Mus musculus: one gene and its partner. The protein of the gene in region 2 interacts with the protein of the main gene of each other region in a biochemical or structural test. Links are inferred from orthologs where the notes say so. Each region holds a gene or a part of one and is shown on either strand. Other genes may lie near its edges.

Region 1 (3,815 bases), on a different chromosome or scaffold from region 2:
TCCCTTCACCCACCACAGAAAATATAAGCAAAAAATAAACCCCATCATGAGAACAGAAAGAAAAAGCACCTTCCACTTATAAGATGGGAAGGTGATCAAGTGCACTCCAACACTGGGCCTTTTGCTGAGAAGTGCTCGGTAGCATCAACTCTGCCAGGCATTATAGAACCACTATTGAACAGACCTCCATGTGGCAAACAGTTCATGTTCTGAAAGGCTAGCCTTTAAAGCAGTCACATGATCTAGAAATAGGTGTAAAATATGTGAAGAGAAGCTATCTCTATGTGATTAAAATTCTCTAAAATGTGCATCCTGAAACATGGGGTGTGTCTGCGATGCCCGTTTATGAGTGTTGTGTTCATTTGTCAGTCATTTCACCAAGTAACCCCCACCCTCCAGGATTCATCATTCACCTGGCAATACCATCTGGGGCACCTCGGTGACACTAACATTCATTGATTCCAACCCTCTGACCAGCACAGGAAAGCTCATAGGTACTCACCCTGCAAACTGGGCACTGCCAGTGACTACTGCTGTCTCTAAGCCTGAACTCATCAGACAAACACTTGGAATGATACACACGAAAACACAGGTCACATATCAACACCTCTCCAGGCAAATGGCATTCAAAACAATACCAGTCATGAGTTTCTGTTTCCCAGTCCTACAAAAAATACAAAATAATTTTGTATGACATTTTGTCAATATCTTCAATAACTAAGAACAAAATTGAAACTAAAGTCCATCACAAGTTAGGCATTATAAACATTTTTTAAGACATTTAATGTGTTAAAACAAGAGAGAAAATACCTAGAAATTTACTTTAAAATTTGATTCTCTCCTATGTTGTATCAATACTCAGAAATACCTTATGGTGATCTGATAGCAAACAACTCCAAAGTGAATTATGTCCAGAGCCAATCCCAGGTCTAACATTATCTTTATTTGAAACTAGGATCTAAGGAATAATGTCTATTATAAGCTGAGTGCCTCACATCAACCAGGGGCTTTATATTTCCAACAAACAAACCTGTGTTTTGTCCTTCTTTTTACAGATTACAAAATGAATGTTGACACGCTGTGGGGACAGGTGCAGCCACGAGTGGTGACACTCACTATGCTTGTATCTCAGCCACTGTATTCGATACTTAACTGAAAATAACAACTAATCAAAATGCCCATGTCCTGACAGGTCACCATGTTCAGGATCTGTTAAATTTAGAAAAATAAACTGAAAATGTAAAACTAAAGGTTTAGTCACACCATCTAAAAGAGATTGATTACCATATAAGACAAGAGGAAGAAGGCTCGATTCTTGGTGTGTCTAGTCCTAGCACTCCTTAACAGGTCTGAGCTGTGAGGTAGGCAACAGAAGGACTGTTGGATTTGCTCTTAGCTGAGAATTCATTCTTTATAAATGTTGCTCCTCCCTTTTCCTAAAATCACACGTCAGAGTAAAGGTTAATCTTGTCCTTTTTTGTCAGTGTAAAATGAAACCCAAATGAACAAAGGGGAAAACAGAGGCTAACACCACCAAGGCTATTTCTGCTGGGAATCCTGACATTCCACAGTTGGGTTCAGCTACCAATTATTTGTATATATATCTGTATTCTTTCCAAGGATGAGTGGCTTCCTCATTTTCTCAGATAATAATATTATCCCAGCAAATGTGGTTCAAACTAGCAATCAATACACATTGACTACTTGGGCCACATGTGAATGCCACCAGTCACTCACAAAGAGCATAGAGTCAGTTATGTTAAAAACATATGCCTTCTAACCCACACCCAGAGTCATGACCAGAGCAGAATAGTCTATTCTCTAGGAATATAAACTTTCCGTACTTATATTTTATTAAGAAATTGATGGTCTTCACTGACCAGAACAATAAAGAAAAAGAGAAACACTTTTTGGTTCCTCACTGAGGCTGTATCAAACTCTAATCTTAGAAAAACTCAGAAAAAAAAAAATCTACACTACCATGTCTGATTCTGGGACACCACAAAAAACATGTATATAGTACTTAGCTCAAAGAAAATTAGTCACTGGTGTACGTATTTCAGATAGACGTCTCATATACACATTGTGTGTGTACCTAACTCATTTTCATGTTTAAAAACTGTAATATAATAAAAATAGGTTTCAAGATTCTATTTTTTAATTAAAGAATTTATTCAAAGCTTAAAACAAAGTATTTAATTCTTATAGTTGTTTGAAAATATCTTAAAGAGATTAATGGTTATATTGACTTAATAATAAAAACTATCAACCTTCATAATTTAATGTTTTTACTTGAATTCACCTTCCTATGATGGGTCCAATGGTAGATCCCACGATGTTAAAAAGGAGGAAGAGCACAGTTCCGGCTTTTCTACTTCACTCCCCACCATAGTCTTTTCACCCCATGCCATGCTTTTTACCTACTTCTTAAACAGACACTGAAATGGGTCAGTCAATGTTGGGTTGCCTAACTCTACACTTTTAACTCTATACTTTTAAAAATAATTGCAGGGATACAATCATTTGTTAAATGAAGCAAAGTGCAGAAACTTTTAAATTTAATTAATTTTATTTTTTATTTTTTTCTTGGTTTTCTTGTTTTTAAAGACAGGGTCTCACTAACAGGACTGGAACTCTCTGTGTAGAATAGGCTGGCCTGGAGTCATAGATTTGACTCTCTAGTGCTAGGATTACAGGCATGTTTCCATGCCTGGCTTGGTTATGCTTTTAAAATGGATACTACTAACTTCATCATATATCCATATGATGACAATGCTTGTTATTTTAATCATGGCGAAGGCTATTTATAATACACAAAACATACAAAAGTCAAGCACAAAAGTAACTGGATTCCAAATCCATTAAAATTTTCTGATGCAAAAATGAGTCATATGGACCACAGGCCAAGCTGCCTCCAGTTTATCTTTAGTAAACAGAAATCATTGAAATCATGAGGCTGCCACCCATCAGTACCATATGTCAATAAGCTGAGGTTACATTTCTATTAGATGCCACCAGATGCCATCAGATGCTCTGGGAACAGCCTATTTAGCAGCCTGTGTAAAATTCCACTTCAGAACAAGAATGTTGTTAAAGAGCAAGTCTAATACAGAGTTCAAAACTGGAAGCAGTATAAGATAGTACTCTCTTCATACATACATCTAGAAAGAACTAACTGAGTTGATCTAAACAAGCAAGAGCTCTATTTAAAAACCAAAACCAAAACCAAAACCAAACCAAAACAAAGCAAAGCAAAACAAAACAAAACAAAAACAAAAACAAAAAACAAAACAAAACAGCAGAATTAAAGTAATATAACATAATGCAAAATTAGTTCACCTTGTTTGGGGCTGCTGTCCTGGAGAAAGGCTGCGTACTGTAGGCCTTTCAAAATACAAACAAGATAATCTTGGTCTCTATCACAATTTTGCTCATATTGGATAATACAGGGCTAAAGGGATTTCACACAATGGTTTATTATTTCAAGAATGATTCATACTATTTGGCAGACAACGTTAACAGAAAATTCTGTTAATGAGTTGATAATTAATGAAAAGATAGTAGCATGCAAACTTAAGAGCTGTCACTAATTGTAGAGGAAGGTTATGGACAGACACAGAGAATCTCTCTGAGAACTCATATAGCATGAAATCTACAGCCACGTTAGGAAAATGTCTTATTAGCAAAGTCCACACCATACACAGCAGTATGGTACCACAAATGCATGTCTGATTGGTCTAAAACTGGACTACACTAGACTTTTTTAAAGATAAGAATAATGAATGTGAGGGTGGTAAACTCAATACCTCACCATT
Region 2 (4,321 bases):
CTCAATAAGGCCTTTGTGGACCAAAGGAGTCCTCGAATGCCCACGGTCTCAGGAGCAGAAGTGATGGAAGGAAACAGTCCTGTTTTGGGTATCTGAACTTCAAGAGATCACTGTGTGTACCAAGCTTCTCAGATACGTGGTCAAGGCGTGAAAATACTTGCAGGGAGATAGGGCCAACGGACACACTCCTTCAGACAAGTCAGTACCTTCTGCTATGTTTTTTTTTTTTTTAAGTTAGCATATGCTGTTCCGTGTCTCCATGGTAACGGGACAGGGACTCTTTCTTCTATTTATGGAGTTCCTCCTTGACCTGGGTTCTCTGGTCTGGACCTGAATACACACTGAGAAGCCATGAGGAAATATCAATTCCCTCTGGACCTAGCTGTTTTAGCTTAGTGGATTAGGCCTTGACTCCTGCAAAGGTGATACACTGGAGAGAAGTATCAGGTGTAATAGTATCTTGATTGGCAATAATTTCAGATGGGGAGTTGCCATGGAAACCAGGAACCCTGCGGTACCAGAGAAGCTGGGGTCTTCCACTCCCTTCCCGGCAAGGCTGTCCTTGTAATGTACCAATCGTCAGTCCCGTGGCCTTGCCTGAGCTTGCCATTTGCAATTTCATATGCCATCTCTGGTAACAACCTAAACTTGAGAAGGAACGAAATAATATTCAACGTACACCTGTGCCTACGGATGAATCCCACAGGTTTCCAACCATGGACTCAACGCCTTCTGACCAAAAAGGAAACCACTCTTTGGCTTGTGTTTTGACCATGAGTTTGGGAGAGTCACGCTGGACTTGACATGTAGTTGACCTCGTAGACCATGTTAAGTAGAACACAGTAGTAGCCTTGAAGGATTTACTAAGACTAATAATAGATGGCGCCTAAGTGCTCGGCCAAGTCGGCGCTGAGACTCGGCTCAGCCCTAGGGGGCGCCATCCGCACCGAGGCAGTAGGAGGGGCCTCTCCAGAGGCAAGCGGCTGCGCCACGTTCTGCTCTTCCACTCGCGACTCCGCCACCCGCCCACTTTGCGACTCCCTAACCCCACGTATGAGTCTTTCACGACGAAGGACCAGAAATCAGGACCCACACGTAGCTCCAAGCACAGGGCAGGCTCCACCGCAGAAGCCTAACCACCCAACCCAAGTGCCAACAGGGCCCCCAGCTCGGACCTGCAGACAGCCTAACGCGGGCGGATACGGCCCTGCCTTTCTAGCTGGACCTCCTGGGCATAACGCCCGAACCGGGCTCCAGGAGCAGGGGCCAGCAGGCAGGCGACAGCGAGCTGCAGGGTCGCAGAGAAGGGCCCGGGAGCAGCGTGGATCCGCCGCTGCCAGAGCGCGCTCTCCTCCCACGCCGGCCTCGCGCTCGCTCCTCCTCCGCGCTCTCTCCGTCACCCCTGCTGTCCCCTCCCCCGGTTCCCTCCGGCCCTCCCCCAGCTCCAGAAGAGCGCGCGGCTAGGAGATCGGGCTGGTTACTTCCTTCACCGCGGCGTTGAGCACAGAGTGGACACCACTGAGGCCCGTCAGTCCCCGCCACCTTCCCCGGCCCCGCGCGCCCGGATCGGCCCTACGGCCTCGTCTCGCCCGGCCTTGCGCGCCGGGACCGCCGCGATCTCCTCTCCCCGCCGCCCTCCGGCTGGCCCTGCCTGCTGCGGCGCGGTAAGAGCGGCCCCTGTGCGCGATGGTCCTCAGCAGAGACTCCGCCCGGGGTGGGGTGTAGTGCGGGCGGCCCCTGATCCCGCCGGGCCATCGCGCGCCCCAGAGCCGCTCCGGCTGGTTCCTAGGCACCCAGTGGCCTCGGAGGGGGACCCAGGCATCGGGCAGGGCGCGGGCAGACCGCTTTTGTTTTGGGGAAGCCAGTGGTCGCCCCGTGCGGTTCCTGCCCGGGGTGCGCGACTGCGTTTCTCGAGAGGGCTTGAGGCACCTGGAGAGGTGGCCGAGGTAGCCCCAGGTTCGGGGTGACTTGAGTTGGGGAGGCGCTAGGCCTGGAAGGATGTGGGGGTGTCCGGATCATGGAACACCTGGGAAGTTGCGGCTCCCGGGAACGTGTCACCTGCTTGGCCAGGTCTGGGCTCCCCTGGGCCCTGGGAAGCCAGTACGGGATACGGTCCAAGTAGGGGTGCTGGTGGCTGCTCTGCTTTTATTTTCTCCTTAAAGCATATGAATGAAGGGGTAACCTGAAGCGTTTGCGTATTTGACTTTTTTTTTTTTCTAATTTACTATTTAATCTCATAAGACTTGTACTAGCCTGCACTCAATTTCAGGGGAGCCTAAAATAGTAGTTGACTCGCTACTTATTTAGAAAGTAAAGCGGTGAGCAGTCCTGGTTGGAGAGAGGAGTCATTTAATTCGCCAGTTGAGAGACTTGCTCCCGCTGTGGAAGCTCCTGTCGGTATCTGCCTGCCTACACCACCGCCAATCCGGAGATACATCTCAGTGTTAAGCTTTTATTAAAATCTGAGTAATCTCGCAGTGCAGTTAATGTGAACACCGTGCATCCCACAGGGAAATAGCCAAACTCTCATATATGGAATTAGTCATTCATTTCTCTAAACTGATTGCTAAGCAAAAGGCAAACCAACCTTCAAAGGGTTTTGTCCTTTTATTTTATTTTTTTAACCTAAATTTATCTAAATACAAACTCATGCTCTCTTATATAAGTGATTACCTGTTCCACTAAGGATACAGTTATCCATGAAATTCTTGTTTAAAAACCTAACTATTCCCAGTTACTACATTTCTGCCATTTTCTCCCATTTCTTGTTACTATTTTTTTTTTTTTTTTTAGCCCATCACCAGTACCAAAAAGTCTAAACTTGAAATTGATTTATCTAGAGTCTTGACTTGTCCCAGGGGTTAGCAAGCACATCCAGTCGGATAAATGAACTTAAATTTGATTAGCCGTGGGTCTGCCTGAAGCCATTTAGTGGAGGGCTTTAATTCTACATTCTTTTTTTTTTTTTTTTTTTTTTACAAAACTCATTAAAAGCCAGGCAACAAAGGAACCCTGTTCTGCAGCCGGTAATTACAGCATTTATGTGGGAGTGGGAGCCTCCCTTTTCTGCTCCTGTTTGTACACAAAAGGCAGGGGAGCTCTTCCCCAACCTCTGAAGCTATTCTCTGCCCATCTCAGAAGCGAAAAATCACAGAGAAGTCCTCGAGTGTCTGTACACTGGGGCAACAGAAAGCACTGTCCGACAGGCCCTGGAGGAACCACGTGGACACCTCTGCCTCTGCTGCTGGTTTTCTGCGGGAGGCTTGTGTTTAGTCAACAGGTTACAGGCTACAGGGCTGACTCCATCCAAGTAGGCGACATGAAGTTCTCAGTTGGCGAGTGTTTCACAGGACTGAAGTGTGACAGAAAGGCCTGGTTTGCTCATATTTGTGTGCTCTCTGCTTCAGTGGGGTGGGGTAGGGAGAGCCCACTCAGGCATGGTCAGGATTTAAGGCCCTACTGATCTGAGGCGTAATCTCCACAGACACCCCCAAAGGAGTGTGTAGTCTAGGCCGGTGACTCAGTTGTCACCGGTCCTCAGTTGCCTCAGAATAAAGTGATTTTACATTTGGAACCTGGACTCTCAGGAGGATTGTGAGGAAGTGGGACTTGAGTCTTCACATTGGGAGCTAGGCATGCTGTCCTGGTGGTCTTCGTCTGTGAGGAATATTGAACCCACAGTAGGTATAGCTGGGATAATATACCAAGGGAGAACCTGAAGAAATGTCCCCGCTCTGGAGACTGCACAGTCCCTGCTGTGACATCACCAGGATGGTGGCTCCTTCAAGGCCCCTCAGCTTTTCTGGGCTGCTTTAACCCTGATCTGCATGTCTGGGCTCCCAGCAGCCTTCCCTTAAGGCCTCTTTCTGCTCTGTGGCCTTTTATCAAGGTGTGAGTGTGTGCACGTGTACACTCACACATGTCGGTGTGTGCATGCGAGTATGCATTCACTAGGAAATTGTTAAGCCATCTGTCATTGGCCCACAATGTTGACTATAAAAAGAACACAAGACAGAGGGATCAAAGCAAGTTAAATAATTCTTTGAGACTATGCTATCTGCTGCCTCTAGTGAGTTCTATCAGTTGCCTGCTAATTTTAGTGACTGTGTGTGGTTAGCAGGTGGGTGCCCATGAAGGAGAGCAAGGGGGTGGTGGTGGTGGCTGGGGGTTGGACACTCTACACAATGGAGCTATCGAAGGCTCCCGTTCTGTAGCTTGGAGCCTGGAGGACGGAGAGCTGCCGTCCAGTGATGGTGATCTCTGGTGTGTGGAAATGAGGCTCCGTGACTGGGTCTGTCTAACGCTCTCTGATATTGTTGAA

What was found.
Region 1: the proteins of Ets2 (region 2) and Zmynd11 form a complex in vitro, tested with the Homo sapiens proteins (2 studies listed by BioGRID). The link is inferred for Mus musculus from reciprocal best matches to the Homo sapiens genes ETS2 and ZMYND11.

Annotation. Positions count from the first base shown.
Region 1 is NC_000079.6:9,709,644-9,713,458, forward strand, and holds part of Zmynd11 (zinc finger MYND domain-containing protein 11), read right to left. Parts: intron 3,385-3,815; coding exon of another isoform or gene 3,340-3,384; intron 665-3,339; coding exon 503-664; intron 1-502. UniProt on the Homo sapiens protein: Chromatin reader that specifically recognizes and binds histone H3.3 trimethylated at 'Lys-36' (H3.3K36me3) and regulates RNA polymerase II elongation. Does not bind other histone H3 subtypes (H3.1 or H3.2).
Region 2 is NC_000082.6:95,700,981-95,705,301, forward strand, and holds the start of Ets2 (protein C-ets-2), read left to right. Parts: upstream 1-1,426; 5' UTR 1,427-1,664; intron 1,665-4,321. UniProt on the Homo sapiens protein: Transcription factor activating transcription. Binds specifically the DNA GGAA/T core motif (Ets-binding site or EBS) in gene promoters and stimulates transcription.